Arabidopsis thaliana: one gene and its partner. The protein of the gene in region 2 binds, or shares a complex with, the protein of the main gene of each other region. Each region holds a gene or a part of one and is shown on either strand. Other genes may lie near its edges.

Region 1 (7,982 bases), on a different chromosome or scaffold from region 2:
ACCTGAGTAATATACATTGCCAAACAACTGCGGTCGTTTCCCTGATAACTTGTATGCAAAAGAACATATAAACTTGTAAAGAATTGAATTACCAAATAATTACATGTGAATTATACGTGGTTGTATGTGTCACAACTCACAAGTATTTTAATAACATGGAATAGTTGAAGCGATAGAAAGATAAATAAACGAAACCAGAAGTAGATATTTTATATTAATTCAAAGATCCATCACTTACATATATTATTTAGCGACTCAATGAAAGAAAGCCACATCATCATATTATTACACCACACAAATACTTAAAATAAGCTTAAACAAGTTGTTAATCAATCTAGTGATGACCACCGGGAAGCTTCTCTTTAATCTTATCCATCGTACTTTTATTTTCATGGTGAACAACGCCAGTATTACCATAACTTGTGGTGGTTCCAGTTTTGTGAGTTCCATGATGACCTGGCAGTTGCTCTTTAATCTTTTCTGCTATACCTTTTTTCTCATGGTGAACGACATTAGTGTTAGTACCATAAGCCGTGTTAGTCCCAGTTTGATGTGACCCATGATGACCTGGTAGTTTCTCCATAACTTTTTCGGTCACACTTTTTTTCTCGTGGTGAACACCACCAGTGTTAGTAGTACCATAAGTTGTGTTGGTTCCAGTTTGGTGTGATCCATGATGACCTGGCAGCTGCTCCATAACTTTTTCCGTCATTCCTTTCTTCTCGTGGTGAACACCACCGGTACCAGTAGCACCATGATGACCTGGCAGCTGCTCCATAACTTTCTCCGTCATCCCTTTCTTCTCGTGGTGAACAACACCAGTGTTAGTAGGTCCATGATGACCTGGTAGCTTCTCCATGATTTTCTCCGTTATTCCCTTCTTTTGCACTCCGGTTTGATTCTGGTGAGAATTCATTTTTCTTCTTTGAATCGAAAATATACTTCTTTAACTCTTTTCTTTCTTAGGTATATATAGATGAAATATTCAAGACTTTGATCGATGAAGATTAATGATCTCTTGAATGATACTTTTATAGAGATGCAAATTTCATTTTGGATAGGAATTCATCATCACATAGATATTTTACTCAATACGTGTTGGCCGACATCGTAAAAGTAATATATTCAATTCGTAATTGATTAAGAGTCACACACACATGGCAAGTAAGACGTCGGTGTAGTAGTGGTTAGCGACCGACGTAATTTTAACTTATATGGGCCTGTGGGCCTTTAGATATGAAAGGCCCAATAATGCATATCTTTTACTAAACTAAAAAACGATGTCGTTTGGTATGTTTCTTCCACCTTTGTTGTTCATCTTTTGATTTTTTGAAATTGTTAGTAAAGAAAGGAAAAAAGCTTTGATTTCGATTTCTCAAGCTGTGTTTTTTTATTTTTCTTCTTCGCATCAGGAAGGAATTGAAAAAGGTATGATTTTGAAGCTTTAGCTCTCATTTATCTCTGAATCCTAATGCTTTTTTCATGCTGTTGTTTCAGATTTTTGGTGTTAAAAGATGGATCCAGATGCAGTCAAATCGACTCTCTCGAATCTAGCATTTGGAAATGTAATGGCGGCTGCTGCAAGAAATTATCAAAAGGTAAAGAATGTTTCTCAATTTGTTTTTGAAATAGTGATAGACTTTATGAGTTTTTTTGATGTTTCTTTGTCTGAGTAGATTACCTGTGAGGACTTACTTGTATGGTTTTGATGAGTTCTTTATATGGGTTTTGTAGGAAGTTCTTGCAAATGAGAAGGCGCAAGGATCAAATCCTGTTAATGAAGAGGTTGATCTTGATGAACTTATGGATGTAAGTGCAATGTTGCTTGTTGTGACTGTTAAGCGTAGGTCTCTATGGTAGACTTATTTGTCTATGTTCTGTAGGATCCAGAGCTAGAAAGATTGCACGCAGATAGGATTGCAGCACTAAAGGTTATAACTTTGGCATTGTATTGTGGCCTATATAGTTATGCAGCTTTTGGTATGAACTAAAATCTTCAAGATTTTATCTTGACAGAGAGAGGTTGAGAAGAGAGAATCGTTTAAAAGACAAGGGCATGGTGAATATCGAGAGGTGAGTGAAGGAGATTTCTTGGGTGAAGTCACCAGGAGTGAGAAAGTGATATGTCATTTCTACCATAAGGAATTTTACCGGTGCAAGTAAGATCTCTCATCAGCTTATTTTTTGTTCGTCTTCTGATATGTATATGAGCTCATAACCAAACATATTTACTGCATTACTGTAGGATTATGGACAAGCATCTGAAAACTCTTGCACCTAGACATGTGGACACAAAGTTCATTAAAGTGGACGCAGAGGTTAGTGAACCATTTGATGAAAGTTTTATAAGAGGAAATGGCTTTTCAACAATCCTTTGCTGAAGCTAATGCTTGGCTGAAATAAATGCAGAATGCTCCTTTCTTTGTCACGAAGCTTGCAATAAAGACTTTGCCTTGCGTTGTGCTTTTCAGGTTTCGCCTCTTTCTATTCCTTCTTACATACAGGGTTTGTTGTTAGGTGTATACTCATAAAGTACGAGTTTCTTTACCATTCTTAGCAAGGGAGTTGCGATGGATAGGCTAGTTGGGTTCCAGGATCTGGGAACCAAGGACGATTTCACAACGAATAAACTAGAGAACGTTCTTCTTAAAAAGGGTATGAAGAACCTCGGTCCCACCTTTTTTTTATTATAACGGCCCAGTTAGAGAATTTTTGCTTAAAGAGTGCAAATCTTTAACAGGAATGCTCAGCAAGAAGAAGAAAGAGGAAGATGATGAAGACGCCGAATATCAAGAGAGCATACGGAGGTCTGTTAGGTCTTCAGAGAATCTGGACTCTGATTCTGACTGATCAAGCAGTTGACATCAAAGATCTGCCATTGCTGCTAGTCTCTGTTTTCCCTTTTTGCTCGTTTGTTATATGATTATTAGAAAAGAAAATTGCGATATGAAATCCAAACGGTCAAAGCAACATTACATTGTATCAAGGTATATGTAATACACCAACTTATTGTCACTGTTTAATAAACATTGATCTAGTTGCTTAAAACGTTTCATCAGGTTCTGTGCAATGGTGTTTTCATCCACACTCCGCCTCTAAAGCCAACATCTTCAATCGCGAAAGACTCTAGCTCTGGACACCAGTTTGCGGTCACGGTCCTCAGGTACGGCATTGACTGTTGCAGCACTTCCCAGTCCATGTCTAGGTCCGACAATGAACTTAACATTAAACCTTCAATTCTCCAGTGAGTATTCTCGTTTCCCCAGAATGGTTCCTGCATTTTCACCAAATTACCTGAACATATTGACATGTACCTCAACATCGGAAGCTTGTGAGGACTCAACCACGATGGACTCGACTTTCCAGGATAGAATTGTAGAGAAAGCTCATGGAGCTGGTGTGGAGGAGTAAGGGCGTCTATTTTGGTTATGAGATCATCGCCGTAGCTATCATAGCAGTTGATCGAAATGGACATCAGCTTGCTTAGGTTTATCAAAGAATCAAGCTCCTCCTCTTCTATCTGATCGCCACGAGTCAGAGAAAGACCAAGTTTCCGAAGGTTTGTGAGATTTTTCACTTCACTGAGCTTGCACCCATTGTTGGACCTGGCTGGCTTAAATCCCAACAGAACTTCGAGCTTCACGAGACTTCCGATACCCTTGGGGAAGCATTCAAGGGATCCACAGTTCGTCATGTCAAGTACAAGGAGTTTCTTGAACAAGACGATGCAAGGTTGAAGTTGTTTCAGATTCTGACAGTAGCTTGCGTCTAGAATCTGAAGGTTGTGGAGATCTTCCATGGAACGAGGAAACTGGATCAACGGATGTGTGTTGCTCAAACTAAGACATGCTAAGTGTTGAAGGCTTGCAATCTCATCCAAAATCTCAGACAGAGGAGCATCAAATATGGATTTCGAGATATCGAGAACCCGAAGATATTTGCAGTCTGTGAATTTCTTAGCTAAGTCTGAGTTGAGCTTGTTCACTTCACCTGTCTTAGTTGTTGACACTACGCCTCTCAGCTTATGGTTAACTTTGATCTGCTTCTCATCAAAGTTTCCACTAATCCCAAGGTGACGACAGTTGAGGCCTTCCGGGTTAGAGAACGAATCCTTCTTGGCTATATCGATCACCAAATCACGAACCATGTCATGAATCTTGCAAGTGATGATGGTTCCGCTATAGGTTTTGTCTACAACTTCTATTAGACACCTGTTTGTGAGCCCGGAAAAGCAGTCTTCTCCAGATTCAGTTGCAGATCTTCCGTTTCTCCACATGACAAAACCTTCTCCGATCCATCCATGTACTAGTTGTTGTTTTGGTATAACACAGTCTTCTGGATAGAGCGAAAGCGTGAGAATGCACGACTTAAGGTGGGAAGGGAGTTCATCGTAGCTCAACTGCAGAGAAGACATAACATTGTCAGTTTCAGAAGTGTTTCCTCTTAGCTCATCCTGAAAATGCTCTGCAATTCGTCTCCATTCATGATAGACATGGTCTTTGCACAGAAGTAACCCACCAACCGCTTTGATTGTCAAAGGCAAACCTTTGCATTTCGTTACAATCTCCTTGCCAACATCCTCTAGCTCGGGACGCTCACAAGTACCGTCATTTGCTGCAAATGCCACATTACAAAACAGCAGCCAACTGTTATCAGGACTAAGGAGCTCTGGACGGTGAGTCTTGTCGTCTCTCGCTTGCACCCTTTTCGCTACAGATTCCGACCTTGTGGTCACGATAACGCTACCTCCTTGTCCTCTAGGCAGTCCTTGGTAGATCTTGTCCCACCAGCTCAAATTCTTGTCCCATACATCGTCCATAACTATCAAGTACCTTTTCCCCAAAAGATACTGCTGGATTTTTCTCAGCAATGTTCCAATATCATCTCCAACACTCGCGTCCCCCAAGTTCCTCAATATGCTTCTCATGATCTGTTCTTCAGTAAAAGTCTGGGACACAGACACCCATATCCTTCTTTCGAAACGATGTTCGATCTCTTTGTCATTGAACACTTCTTGAGCGATTGTAGTTTTACCTAGCCCTCCCATCCCAACAAAGGCCATTATCAAAAGCTGGCTGTCGTTTGATCGAAAGAGCCACTCCTTGATTTTTCTTTTATCTCCTTCCAAACCAACCACCTGAGTATGATCATACACCGGAGAGCTCCACCGATCAGTTCCATTATCTCTTCCAACATTACTCGGCGTTATGAATTCGAAATAAGGCTCTACTTGACTCTTTATTTTCGTTATCCTCTCATTGATCTCTTGCAAACGTTTGCTTTTCTTGTACTGCAACGGAACCCGGGCAGGATGAAGCCGCGAAAGCCACGCATTTGATGACCTTTGCTCGTTCCCATCATCACCATCCGCGAGCTGACAATCCACAAGTATATCCTCAGCTTCGTAAACCAGTTCTCGTAAATCCGCAACAAGAGTACGCAACGTTTCATTAGTTCTCTTCTGCCTCTCTGCATCCTTGAGAAAAGACTGCATATATTTCAATTCGCTTTGCAAATCTTCCAACTGTTTTCGGTAGTCCGATACGGTTCGGCCTTTTTCTTCGAGGATGTTCAAGGTTTTCTCTAAAAACACTGTTACAACAGCGTCCACCATTTACTCAGACCCTGCAACTTCAAGAAATATCTCTAATTGGTAAACTATAACCAAGCAATAATTCAATCGGTTATGTGTATCATCACTAGATTGAACTTTCCAAAAATCAATCAACCAACGACTATAGAATCTCAATAACCAAAAGATTGGATTATTCTTTAACTAATCCATATCTTCTCAAGAAACATGTAGAATCCTAGAACATTGAAACAAATCTAACCAAAGTAAAGTAAACTTACAAGGTTGTGACTTAGCCTTAGCCGAGAAGGATCTGAAGCTTCAGATCTTTGGATTTTTTTAGCAAAACTTGTTTCAGAAAAATGAGCTTACATAGAGACTTTATCGAAATTGAAGTCAATGGTTTAACAAGTCAAGAGTCAACCTTACTCGTTTTCTTGGTTACTGCTGCCGACTACGAAACTTGTCTCAATCTACTTTAGAATCTTATCATTGAGTTTAGACATGTTCTGACCTCATAAAACAATATCCGCATTTCACTTAGGAAAAAAAAAAATGATTTCACTTTCTGTAACATTTTATAACCAATAATTGCATGATAGTGTTTAACAAAGAAACAAATAAAAGAACTAAATTTCTTCTAAGCTTTTGAATTATCTATTTGCTTCTTGGCTTTTAAGAACTCAACAAGTCCTTGGAGTACTTTATCCACAGAGTCACTCCTCATCAGTTGTTCAGCTACTTCTGCTGGTGTAACTTCAATTTCTCGGATAAATTCTTCAATCTGCTCGAAAAGTATATGATCTTGAATCTCGAGATAATTCGAAGCCAAAACCTTAAAAGCAGCTGGTGTGCAATACGACATGTGAATGTGCATGTCCATACGTCCTGGCCTCAACAATGCTGGATCCAATTTTTCTCTGTAGTTAGTCGTAAACACTATAATCCGCTCGTTACCACAACTTGACCATAGTCCGTCTACAAAATTCAATAGACCAGAGAGTGTGACCTGAAAATGACTAACCAAAACATTAGTAATGCTAATAAGCAAAAGATCACATAACAACATAACTGATAGTGAATCAAAATGCATCACCGTTTTATGTAACGGATCGTTGTTTTCTTGATCAGTAGACCGATCTTTTAACTCGATTGAACAATCTATATCTTCCACAACTAGAATGGAACGATTTGCAGTAGACATAAGTAACCTCCGTAGCTCAGCATTGTTGTTAAGTGATGTCAAGTCTAAGTCATAGATATCGAAGTTAAGATGATTAGCTATAGCTGCGATCAAGCTTGATTTTCCAGTACCGGGAGGACCATACAACAAATAACCTCTCTTCCAAGCTTTTCCAACTCTCCCGTAAAAGCCTTTCCGCTGCACGAATCGATCAAGATCCTCCACCAAGTTTTTCTTCACCTCGGGATCCAGAGCGAGAGTGCGAAACGTGGAAGGATGATCTAGAGTCACAGAGGTCCACTCCACGGAGTAAGAATCAACGGTGAAGATCTTCAATGTTTTAAACTTTTGTTTAATAGAAGCAGCTTGTTCCACAACAAACGGTAAATAAGATTCAAGAACCATGTTCTTGAACTTCTTTCGGAAACTAAGCTCGTAACTACGCACTTCTGATTTCAAAGTGGAGTTGAGATCTCTCGGGTTACGAAAATCCTTTTTATCGACATGGCGACATACAAGGATCCAACTAAGCTTGACGCCATCAAAAATATCAACAACTTCCTCATCACGTTCAACAGTAACACTATAATTGCTCTGTTTCTCAAGTTTGTTAACTTTGATTCTTCTAGTGGAATTAGATATCTTGGTGGAGAGATAAGCCTCTGCAGCTTCAAACACTTGGTTGTGTTCAAAACCTCCAAATTCTTCTATTACAGCTGTCATCTGATAAGAGAAGTAGCTGAAGAATCTGCGAAAGCCGTGAGAGATATATTCATGAACCTCGTTTGGCATGTAATCTTGAACCACTGATCGAGCTAGTATTGCGGCTGCAGCAACTGATGCAACCGCTGTGAGAGCTGTTTTGGCGGTGGCTAGATGAGATTCACTAGAGGAACTCATCTCCTTCAATCATCAAAAATAAAATAAATACATTCAAGTCGGTTCTCATAAATCAAAGAGACAAGAAACTAATCCAAAAAAAAATCTGATTATAGAACAATAGTACTGTATTTGTTACTAGGTTACGTGGGGATAAATCTGATTAGGTTAAACAAACGATGCTATTCTTTTGATAATTTTACGATGAGCACACAAATTGGAATCTTAACAAGTAAAAAAAAAAAAATGTTAAGGTTAAGGAGAAAATTTGATACCAGTTCTTCTCTTTTATTTGATGAAAGGCTTCTGCGATCAATAATAAATTTTCACGAATACCTCTGATCATAA
Region 2 (11,051 bases):
TAGCTACTTTCTTTGCTTGTAAAAGTTCACAGAATTGGCTTGTTTCTTTGCTGGTGAAATTCACTGGATGAGCTTGTTTACTTTGTTTGTGAGAATTTACAGACTTGGCTTGTTCTTCTGCAGGTTTCTACGTTTAGCAACTCATTATTTTTAGGCGCCATCAAGAATGGGAAAGACTCCTGGTAAATGGATCAAGACTTTGCTTCTCGGGAAGAAGTCGCCTAAGTCGAATTCGGATAACCGAAGCCAGAAACTGGTAAGAGTTTGGGATTCCTAACTCATCCTTAAAATGAATGAGGATTATTCTAACTGTAATGTTGTTCACATGTACAAAGAAATCTGCTAAGAAAGAAGAGCTGGTGGAATCGGTGACAGAAGATTTGTCAAACTTAACAGTTGATCCTCCGGTGGTTTCATCACAACCAGTTCCAGCTTCTACTGCTCAAAATGTGGTTTCTCCAATCAATGGTGATGAGTCCAAGGATAATCTCGAGTCAAGGAATGACTTGGGAGAAGTCGAGCTTGAACAAGCTGCAATTAAGGTTCAAGCTACCTTCAGAGCTCATCAGGTACTTATTCTTTGCCATAACAAAGACAAATCTACGTGAATAGAGTTGGTAGTGTTAATGATGTTTTTTTATTCATCTACTGAAGGCACGTAGAGCATTTCGAACTCTTAAAGGTATCATCAGGCTGCAGGCAGTTATCCGTGGTCACTTGGTGAGAAGACAAGCCATTGCTACATATTCATGTATATGGGGAATTGTGAAGTTTCAGGCTCTTGTTCGTGGCCAGAAAGCTAGATCTTCAGATATTGCGATTCAGTTTCAGAAAAAACATATGGTAGAGACTCTTTATCACGCCTTCATTACATAGTTGGCTGATTTTGTAGGCTTGTTATAATCAAGCTGCAATTTTCTTTCTTCTATTAGGAAGCAAGTGATTCAGAAGTTTTGCAATCGAGCACGTGTAGTTGGATGGATAATCCCACAAAGTTCGTCTTTGTTGATAAGGTATCTTTAACTTATGTTTCATGGTTCTTGGTGGAATAATAATTTCCATAACTCCTGCTCAGTAAACCCGGATTTACCAATCTTGCAACACAACATTGGCTTTTCTGGTTTGTAACTTATTATTTCTCTGGCTTTTCAGCTTCTAGCTTCTTCACCAACTGCATTGCCTCTGAAGATCCAGTATGGTCCTGAGGAACCTAACTCAGCCAAGGTTTGGCTTGAACGCTGGACACAATTACAAGTTTGGTCTTCTGGTTCACGAGTACCTAGGATTGAGATTCCAAAATCTCAGTCAAAGAAGCGAAACTACCAAGCAGTGGTTGAAGCAGAAAAGAAAAGGCCAAAGCGAAGTATCAAGAAACCATCTGGCACAACTAGTGGAACTGGCCCTAGCCGTTTTACAGCTGAAAGAAATAAACCTAAACGAAATGTGAGGAAGGCTTCCACGCTTAGTAAAGATCCCCTGAGAAATGAGAGTGACAAAGCAAATCACAATTCGAGAAAAAGTAGAAGCGGCTCAAAGGAGGGGTCGCCTTTGGAGATTAAAGATGAGAAGCCCAGTCCTAGTCTCAAAAGGTCTTCTCTTTCGAACGGGTCAAAGAAAGCCACCCTTAGATCTGCTGAGAAGAAGAAGAAAGATATTCCAGATTCTTCTGTGCAAATACAGCCTGAAGGGAAAGTTTCAGAGAATGTTCTTGAAGGAGGAGACAATATTGAGTTTGCTGAAAAGGAGAAAGATACTACAGATTCTGTGCAGATAGAGTCTGAAGGGAAGGTTTCAGGGAATGTTCTTGAAGGAGGAGAAGGAGAAAATATTGTGTTTACTGAAAAGGAGAAAGATACTGCAGATCCTGTGCAGATAGAGCCTGAAAGGAAGGTTCTTGAAGAAGGAGACAATATCGAGTCTTCTGGAAAAGAAAAAGATACTGGAGATTCTGTGCAGATAGAGTCTGAAGGAAAGGTTCTTGAAGGAGGAGACAATATTGAATTTGGTGAAAAAGAGAAAGATAAAGCTGATGCAGTTCCCATCGAATTTGATATTGTAAAAGATGAGAAGTCACCAGTTTTGGATAGGACGGAGGAAGATGAACTGAAAACTGCAGAGACCAGTGACAAAGCCGAAGCCCTTAAATGTGCAGATGTGAAGGTAAGCTCTGAGAATGGTAATGTTGGTTCTGATAACACAAAGCAAAGTGAAAAACGAGCATTGCTGCCTGCAAATATTGACAAACAAGATGATGGGCTTACCCTTAGCGGACGGAAAATCCCCAGCTACATGGCCCCGACTGCATCTGCAAAGGCCAGAGTCAAAGGAGAAGCCTCTCCGAGGTTTGCCCAAGCGAAGACTGAGATAAATGGGGCATTACGGCGCCATTCACTGCCTTCTCCAGCCAATGGTAAGCTGAGTACTACTACTATGTCTCCAAGGGCTCAAAAACTTCTCTTAGCCTCTGCCAAAGGATCTATGAACGGCGACAAATCTTTTACTTCTTCCAAGGACATAACTCGTAAGCAAGACTCAAATTTACAGAATTCTTATAAAAGTATTGAAGCTTTACTCAGATAAATAACCTTTTAACCCATATCTTTCTTGATTGTTTCAGACAAGTCAACCAGAACCGACTGGAAACGGTGAAGGCTCAGGCAAAAGAGAGTGTCATCTACTCATCTTACATGGTCGAATTCAATTACTTAGTGTGTTTCCTCTGCATTTTGGTTTGGTTTGGTGAGTTTAGAGAGTGTTTGGTCAGTGTTCATGTCTAGTCTATTACATCATTTTCATATCTTGCTTCAATTTACTCTGATATGTTTGAAGACACAAAATAGTTGAAGTAAATAGTTAATCTCTGTATAAACCTTTGCAATCACTCCTCTCTAATTACACAGACAAGCCTGCATTTTTACATATAGTACACATACAAGCATAAAGCACGATCTGTTTTCTTAAATGTGTTTCATCTTACACGAGGAGATTGAGTGTAAGAAGGTAAAGGCGATGCACCAGGAGTCATGTGCAGCAGAGGCCGATCATGACTATATCTTACCGGAGATTTCTGCATAACAGAAGAATGATGAAATCTTGGAGATTCCATTTGGGTGTGTTTGGTTCCAGGTTTAGCAACGGATTCTAGCTGTTCTAATGTGACTAAAACCTCTGACATTTTTGGCCGGAGTTTTGCATCGGGATTTAAGCATTGCAATGCAAGATTAGCAGCTGTGAAAGCTCCCTTTTGTGGATATTGACCCCCTAGTTTCGTGTCCATTATGCGAAAAAGCTTTCGCTTATCGCCAAGGTACGGTGTTGCCCAATCTACAAGACTATACTCGTTTCCTCCATTCGAATTGTCCATGGCACGCCGTCCTGATATTAGTTCTAGTAGCACGACCCCGAAGCTGTACACATCACTCTTTGCGGTTAATCTACCTGCAGTGGATGAAGATGAGGTTTAGATGAGTTCTTAGAGAAAACAAAAACAATCTAAAGGTCAAAGATTTTTGGTTAATGTCAAAGCTCTTGACGAGTTCTTGGAGAAAGATAAAGCGTTTCGAGATTAATAAGTCAAAGGTTTTGAAACATTCTTGGAAAAAGCTTGTGAAGTTGTCTTACACAGAAACTGATAAAACCTTATTGAGACCATAGATGGGCTCGTGGTATTGTCTAGTTTATTACCGCGTATGTAAGTTTAGAACAAACCTGTGGCAACATATTCAGGAGCTGCATATCCATGAGTACCAATGACCTTTGTTGACACATGTGTATTATCACCAGTAGGACCTGCTTTTGCCAATCCGAAATCTGAAAGCTTAGCATTGAAGTCCTGCATTTAGACACAGTTTCAAACAGTTAGGAATCAGAAGCAAATCCCGAAAGTGGTTATAGAGAGTATATGCTCGGGTTTATTACAGCGTCGAGTAGAATGTTAGCAGCTTTAAAGTCTCTGTATATCACTTGTGACTTTGCTTCATGAAGAAAAGTTAGCCCTTTAGCTGCACCTACCGCCACTTTCATCCTTATTGCCCATGTAAGTGGCTGCGCCCCACCTGCAAGTAACATTGACCGGATGATTATAAGAAAACTGAAAAACAAAGAAACATGTAAGATTCTTCTTGAATTCAAGATTGTTGAGTTGCTGAAAACATACGTCTAAAAAGATGATTCTCCAAGCTTCCTTTTGGCATGAATTCATATACAAGAAGCCGGTTTTCGCCTTCCGCGCAATACCCAACTAGTAATACAAGATTTGGGTGACTAAGTTGACCAAGATAGTTTACTTCAGTCTGAAAAAAAAAAAAAAAACAATATCTCAAAATGTCAGCAAACACACACTCATTAATCACGGTGAACCGAAAAAGGGCGAGAAACCGAACTTACCAACCACTCTTTATGACCTTGAAAACCTTCAGGCTTAAGCTGCTTAACAGCAACAACGATTCCAGAACCGGGACGTGAAGCAGTGAGAGATGTTTGATCAATCCATCCTTTGAATACACAACCGAAACCTCCTTCCCCTAGTAGATTATCTTGACGAAAGTTCTTAGTCGCGTTCTTGAGTTCGTTGAAAGTGAAAGCTTTTAGGTTAGGCGATGAAAGTATCTCTCCTTCTGTCCTAAGTGTTGGTAATGGCCCAAAACTACTATCTGTGCTGTAAGAAGTTGTGCTTAGTCCTGAAGGACCCGTTGAACGGCTTGTCTTGCTTGAAACTTTAGAGCCCGAAGAAGCTATTAAAATGATCATTCAAACATAGTAAAATCTCTTTAGTTTGGTGTGTTTTCAATCAAACTCATGATGCTAAGAACATCAATACAGATACAAACATGGATCAAACACATGTACTAAACAGAGCAATTCAAAAGAGTTTGACTTTTGATGATCCAGAGATGGACAAATTACTTATTCGAAAAACCCATTTTGAGAATAAGAAGAAATATCCAAGAAACTGTAACATAGAACCCAATTAAGCAATAAAGACTTGAGAGGAAATAGTTACCAGAATTAGCATGTGGGCTATGGTTGCTATTATCCACTTTAGCTGATGAATCTAAACAATTACCCATTTCAGATAATAACCCTATATGGAGAGACAAAGCTACTGTTCTTTTCGTGGAACAACGTAACAGATGATCAAGACAAGAAGAGAGCCTCAAGAAGCAAAGACAACAAGCTTCTTCTTTCTTTAATTTCTTTCTATCCTTTCGACTTAACGGCGGCGCAATGTCTGTTTAGCTGAATATGAACGCTAATAGAATAAAAGTATTACAACATGAAAGGAAAATCTATATAAAAAAGAAGGAGAGAAGAAGGAACAAGGAAGGTGAAGAACAGAGGATTTGAAGCAAATAATACAAAGTCGTCGTGTCCTTTTGTTTTGTACTCAAACTCATAACAATTTCTCAAAATGACAAAATGCCCTCGAGTTAGTTCCTTTAGACGGCCATCGGAAAGGACAATTTTAGTAATTTGAGATAGATACGGTAACGTCATGCTCACGGCAGTAAATCCGCGTGGGATAATAAATGGTACGACAACTTTTCAGAGATAACTCATTCATTCATTCAGTAATCGAGTGATAAACTGATAATTTCTAGGAGGATTGGTGGTGGACAAAAAGTCGTGTTTCACATCTAATTTTCAGATTTTATAATGTATCAATCAACGAAAATTTCCAAATTCTTGAGATAAAAAACATTTCAAAAAGTAATCAAAGATATTTATTTTGTTATATTTTAAAGTTAATAATATTACACATATGAGACATGACTTTAAACTTGTCATTTTTCAAACAGAAATGAAATGAAACAAGACTTGCTTGAAAATATTTGTCTCTGTTTCATTTTTACAATGTTTCTTTAGAATTCTTGTTTTCCCATCTCCATCTTTTAAATGTTACAGGGAATTATATTAGATTGTTCAAGTTTTTTTTTTTGGTTAAAGTTAATGGCTCAAGTTATTAGTATTCATGATATTAAATTCATACATGAAACAGCTTATGAATACTTTTTGTTAGTCTGAAATTTAGAATTTAAAAAGAATTAAAAGGAAGTTGTGGTTTTTGTTTGGTGTTTTTTTTAACTAATTATGGTCATGGTTGACGTCTGCTAAGGGACAACAAAGTGGTGGGTCTGGATCGCCCATATCGTTGAAATTTTGATCGATATTTTACAATAATACTTACTATCGTTCAGTCACAATTATTAGCGAGATTCCCCTTCAATCAAGATGTTAAGTGTTTACAACTTTTCTTTGGATGTTATATTTATGTTTAAGAAACTTTTACATACACTTCCAAATTATGAGAGATATCAAAACCTTAGAATAAAATTTGGTATTATGGACGATTTTATCTTTCTGAGACGTATTGGATTTACTATTAGATTATTGTGCATATGGCATGCATGCATTAGATATATATAGTCTTTCTTCGATAAATAAAAGTTTAGTCAATGGATGAATCAATCTTTATGTGTAGATCTTTTGTTGATCAACAGGTGATCAAGATTTAAAGGACCCGAAATTAGTTACGAAGTATTGTGGATTTTTCGCATTCTAGTTGACCAAATGAATAATTAAAGTATGAGATTCAACTCTTAAATAATATTTTTGTAAAATTAAGTTTTGAGTTAAGAGACAACGTTAAACCGTCATAATTTATGTGTGTTATATATATAATCGTCAAACCATGGTAAATAACTAAACGCATAGTAGACAAAAAATTTGTAATCATAGATGTAGACGACGGTAATCATCATTTAGATTTGAATTTTTAATGGAACGTGGTGGCTAACGTCGAATACATTTTTGGTGTATTTCTTAAATATAATATCCCATGCATTGACCCAAGAAACTACTTATTAATCAGTTAATCTATATTCACATTGTTATTGACCGGCAGATCGAAAGAGAGTTCTTTTTTCTTTTGCATATTGCATATCACGTGTGGACAAAAGCCCCATTTGGAATCTTTTATGATATTATATTGTTATGTTACACATTAATTTGTTATCTCACCAAGACTTCTATTTTCATTTTGTATCCGGTAAGAGTCACTCTTTTGAGTTTTGACTTTTGACTCTTCAAAATGTATAATTGGTTCTCCCATGAGGATTAAGTATGTCATATAAATTCCGTTTCCCAATATATATAACTTCTATTTTCATTGAGATATAGTATAATATTATTCGTATAGAAAATTACTCAAATCATAATGAACTATGCATGAGTGCATGCATGTGATACCTTGTTTTAATATAATGGAAATTCGATATTTCAAACTTTTCTCGCTATGTTGACGTTATTGTCACATTTACTTTAAGATATATCATATTTTGTTTTAGTAATCTTAACAATGGGTCATCACTAAATTTTAATCAATTAAATCATGTTGGCAACTTTCCTCCATTTGTGTATATACGCCTTTTTCTTTCATTTTCTTACCACAAGTGATCTTAGATTTGTATGAATTCATCAGTTAGTCAAACTGACATGATTAGCTGTGTGCAAGTTTGCTTAATCAAATTAAGGCCCAAGCTGTAAAAAGAACATCCGTTTACAAGTTCTAGGAAACTGCGTGACGTTTTCATGACAATAAAACGGCACATAGTTCCCATTCCTATCTCAGACATGAATGTGCATATGACTTGGATTCCAGAAATAAATCCACGTCCTATAGCCAATCAGAAGTGTCATGTCAGATTATTAAGCCAATGACACAGTTACACGTGGAAAATCTACGTCTTTCTCGCGCCTCCTACACTCTCTCTAATAACTTTCGTTTCCACTTCAGACCGATCTCATAATTTGATCGCAAAACTGATCAAATAGCGTAAAATTGAAATTCAAATTTTCGCCGGAGCTCCGTCGGATAAAACAATAAGCGACGTGCGGCGATGGAATCTCACGGTTCCGGTCTCCGGCGAGTTCTGTTATTGTCGTTCTGTGTCGCTGGGATCTGGGCAGCTTACATATACCAAGGCATTCTTCAAGAGACCTTGTAAGTAAAACTCGTTAGGGTCGAAATCGATCAATCTTATTTTAGCTCGTTGATTATTTTCTCTCGACATTGCTCGATTCTGTTTGTTCGAGATTGTTTCTATTCTCGGAATCCTGGTTGGTGATGCGTTTGCAATTATTGGAAATTTATAGAAATGTAGCTGATAGAACTCTAACATTTTCGAATTAGGTCGACGAAGAAATTTGGTGAAGATGGGAAGAGATTCGAGCATCTTGCATTTCTGAATTTGGCTCAGAATGTAATCTGCTTGGTTTGGTCTTATATAAGTGAGTAGGGCATCTTCATTGTTTATTCCTTAGAATTATAAGTTTATAACAGACGAATAAATGGAACTGAAGTATTTTTGATTGATTATGAGCAGTGATTAAGCTCTGGTCCAACGGAGGTTCTGGTGGAGCCCCATGGTGGACGTATTGGAGTGCTGGCATTACTAATACCATTGGTCCTGCTATGGGCATTGAAGCTTTAAAGTATATTAGTTACCCAGCTCAGGTAAATTAGGCATTGTTAGTGTAATAAAAACCTCATTTTTCTTGATTATGGTTGATAGTTGAGGTAATAACCTTTCTTGGGAAGTAATATTGATGCAAAACTTGCTTCTTGCAGGTCCTTGCAAAATCTTCCAAAATGATTCCAGGTGAGGTGTCAATTTAGAGCATCAATCCATAATCGCTCTCAACTGCTGCTATGTGTATCTTATATATGTTTTTTCTTTCATGTAGTTATGCTGATGGGCTCCTTAGTTTATGGCATAAGATACACTTTGCCTGAGTATCTTTGCACCTTTCTTGTTGCCGGAGGAGTATCTATGTTTGCCCTTCTTAAGGTAGGCAAATCTGCATTCAGGAACTTTGATCATAATCTTTGTTATACTTTGTCTGTGGAAATGTAGTAAACCGTCTTTGACTTGGTTTACAGACAAGCTCTAAAACCATCAGCAAGCTAGCACATCCCAATGCACCCCTTGGTTACGGGCTTTGCTTCTTAAACCTTGCCTTTGATGGATTCACAAACGCAACCCAGGATTCCATTACCGCAAGGTATGACTCTTGACATTCTGTCAGATACTTAACCCAGTCTGACATCTACAACATGGTCTAGATGTTGGACATTAATCATCGCCATACATGGATACAGGTACCCCAAAACTAACGCATGGGACATAATGCTGGGAATGAATTTATGGGGAACCATATACAACATGGTCTACATGTTTGGATTGCCACATGGGAGCGGATTTGAAGCTGTGCAGTTCTGCAAGCAACACCCTGAGGCAGCATGGGACATTCTTATGTACTGTTTATGCGGTGCAGTAGGCCAAAACTTCATCTTCTTGACAATAAGCAGATTCGGGTCTCTAGCTAACACGACCATAACCACAACCAGGAAGTTTGTAAGCATCGTGGTATCTTCAGTTTTGAGCGGGAATCCGTTATCTTCCAAACAATGGGGATGTGTGTCGATGGTGTTCGGTGGATTGTCTTACCAAATTTACCTGAAATGGAGGAAGCTGCAGAGAATGCAGAAGAAGAAAAAGGCCTGAAGCTGAGATTGGGGATCAAAATATTTAATTCTTCAAGAAAATTGTTTTTGATTTGGAAACTTTTTACTTCCAAATATGTCTGAAAGTTAGAGAGAAGAAAGCTTAGTCCATTAGCAAAATGTAAACTAATGCATTAGAAGAAACTTATATATATCAAACCAAAAGACAAATCATATATTTCCACTCATATATATTTGTCTTAACAATACAACAAACTCTTCCTTCTGAGTTTTTCATTTTTCCTAAAGTTACACTCTGGAAAACTTCTTTATATATATGTGATAGAGATTCTGTACAGAGATGATGAAAACAAATCAAGAAATCTGGGGAAAATGCTCAGATGATGTATCTGAGTAAAGCCCTTAGAGACAAACCAAAGAATTTTTTCTTAAAGACACACTGGTGCCTTCTTTTGTAGATGGCTTCCTTATGTTAAGTAAGAAAAGAAAGAGAAATCTGAATCTGAGTATATGGCAGATTCTTGAGAACATTCTTTGATGGGGCTAGAAAATGTTACCGTTAACATTCTAGGACCAGGAAAGAAACTTAAAAACCTTGAGGGAGGAATGCAGATCATGGCATGCCCGCTTCACAAAAACTTCCAGGCCGATATGGCTGCAAAACCTAATATGAAATCTAAGCAAAAGTGGAAAAAATTACGTCTCCATGGAGACTAAACCGCGGTTTAGGGTATGAGAGAGATGGTTGGTTGGTTTACAAGCTATGGAGAAGGACTCTTTTGCAAGGGGGTGGTTTTGAAGGATTAGCACTTGGACATGGAGATGAGGACTCGATCCCTAGTGTTTTTAGCAGGAAGCTCCTCTCCTACAAAAGCAATCAGTCTTTTAAGACTCATTGTTTTTTCAAAGCCTAAGTATTGTATGATGAACAAAGAAGGTGCGAAGCTTACACTTTCGGAGAACTGTGGACTTGGTATACCGTCTGCCAAAGATCTGAACAATGGCGTGACCTGAATAGGCGAGCTGAACTTTTCTTCGCCTGAGATGGGCATATTCTCATCAGGATTTTTCGGGACGAGCAACTCCTCTCCAACTTGCTTATGTTCTGTCTGAGTATCTGCTGAGAATGGTTGTGTTTTATCACCAGACTGATCCACCATGATGGTTGATCCGGAACTATACTCAGAGCTAGCTGGTGAGTCATGAAGATCAGGTTGCCTAAAGAACATCAAATGAAATGGTTATACAATCAAAACCTTAAGATGAACACAAAATTTTTGTGGTGATGAAAAGCTACCTCCAAGATAATTGATTGTCTTCATAACCACTCCTCAAATCCTCTATAAGGTCCTTAAATTCCTCGATCTTAAAATCTATATCAGGTATTCCATATCTGAATAAATCATTCTCCTTGCCTTTATTCAAGAAGTCCTGAAGAACCTGTATATATGCATACAACAAGAGGTATGTTATTAGTAAGCTTGAAACTTTTCGCTATTTTGATATGCTGCGAAGTTTGTTGTTT

Evidence for each region.
Region 1: APK2A (region 2) and ZAR1 share a complex: the UniProt entries of both Arabidopsis thaliana proteins name them as parts of the stable high-order oligomeric complex.

What each region holds. Positions count from the first base shown.
Region 1 is NC_003074.8:18,933,759-18,941,740, reverse strand, and holds ZAR1 (HOPZ-ACTIVATED RESISTANCE 1), read right to left. Parts: upstream 6,068-7,982; 5' UTR 5,854-6,067; exon of another isoform or gene 5,626-5,853; 5' UTR 5,615-5,625; coding exon 3,056-5,614; 3' UTR 2,942-3,055; downstream 1-2,941. Other genes in the region: LTI30 (dehydrin family protein), read right to left, coding at 335-916; PLP3a (thioredoxin domain PLP3A-like protein), read left to right, coding at 1,515-1,598, 1,735-1,809, 1,884-1,931, 2,017-2,159, 2,246-2,318, 2,410-2,471, 2,558-2,655, 2,741-2,850; AT3G50940 (P-loop containing nucleoside triphosphate hydrolases superfamily protein), read right to left, coding at 6,213-6,581, 6,669-7,655.
Region 2 is NC_003070.9:4,909,877-4,920,927, reverse strand, and holds APK2A (protein kinase 2A), read right to left. Parts: upstream 5,438-11,051; 5' UTR 5,070-5,437; coding exon 5,003-5,069; exon of another isoform or gene 4,734-5,002; coding exon 4,387-4,733; intron 4,293-4,386; coding exon 4,157-4,292; intron 4,056-4,156; coding exon 3,919-4,055; intron 3,833-3,918; coding exon 3,709-3,832; intron 3,439-3,708; coding exon 2,969-3,438; 3' UTR 2,790-2,968; downstream 1-2,789. Other genes in the region: IQD28 (IQ-domain 28), read left to right, coding at 167-256, 336-569, 655-843, 933-1,013, 1,153-2,521, 2,618-2,649; UTR3 (UDP-galactose transporter 3), read left to right, coding at 7,899-8,002, 8,192-8,289, 8,385-8,515, 8,630-8,660, 8,746-8,849, 8,942-9,063, 9,161-9,566; FLP (Duplicated homeodomain-like superfamily protein), read right to left, coding at 10,281-10,391, 10,477-10,744, 10,824-10,966.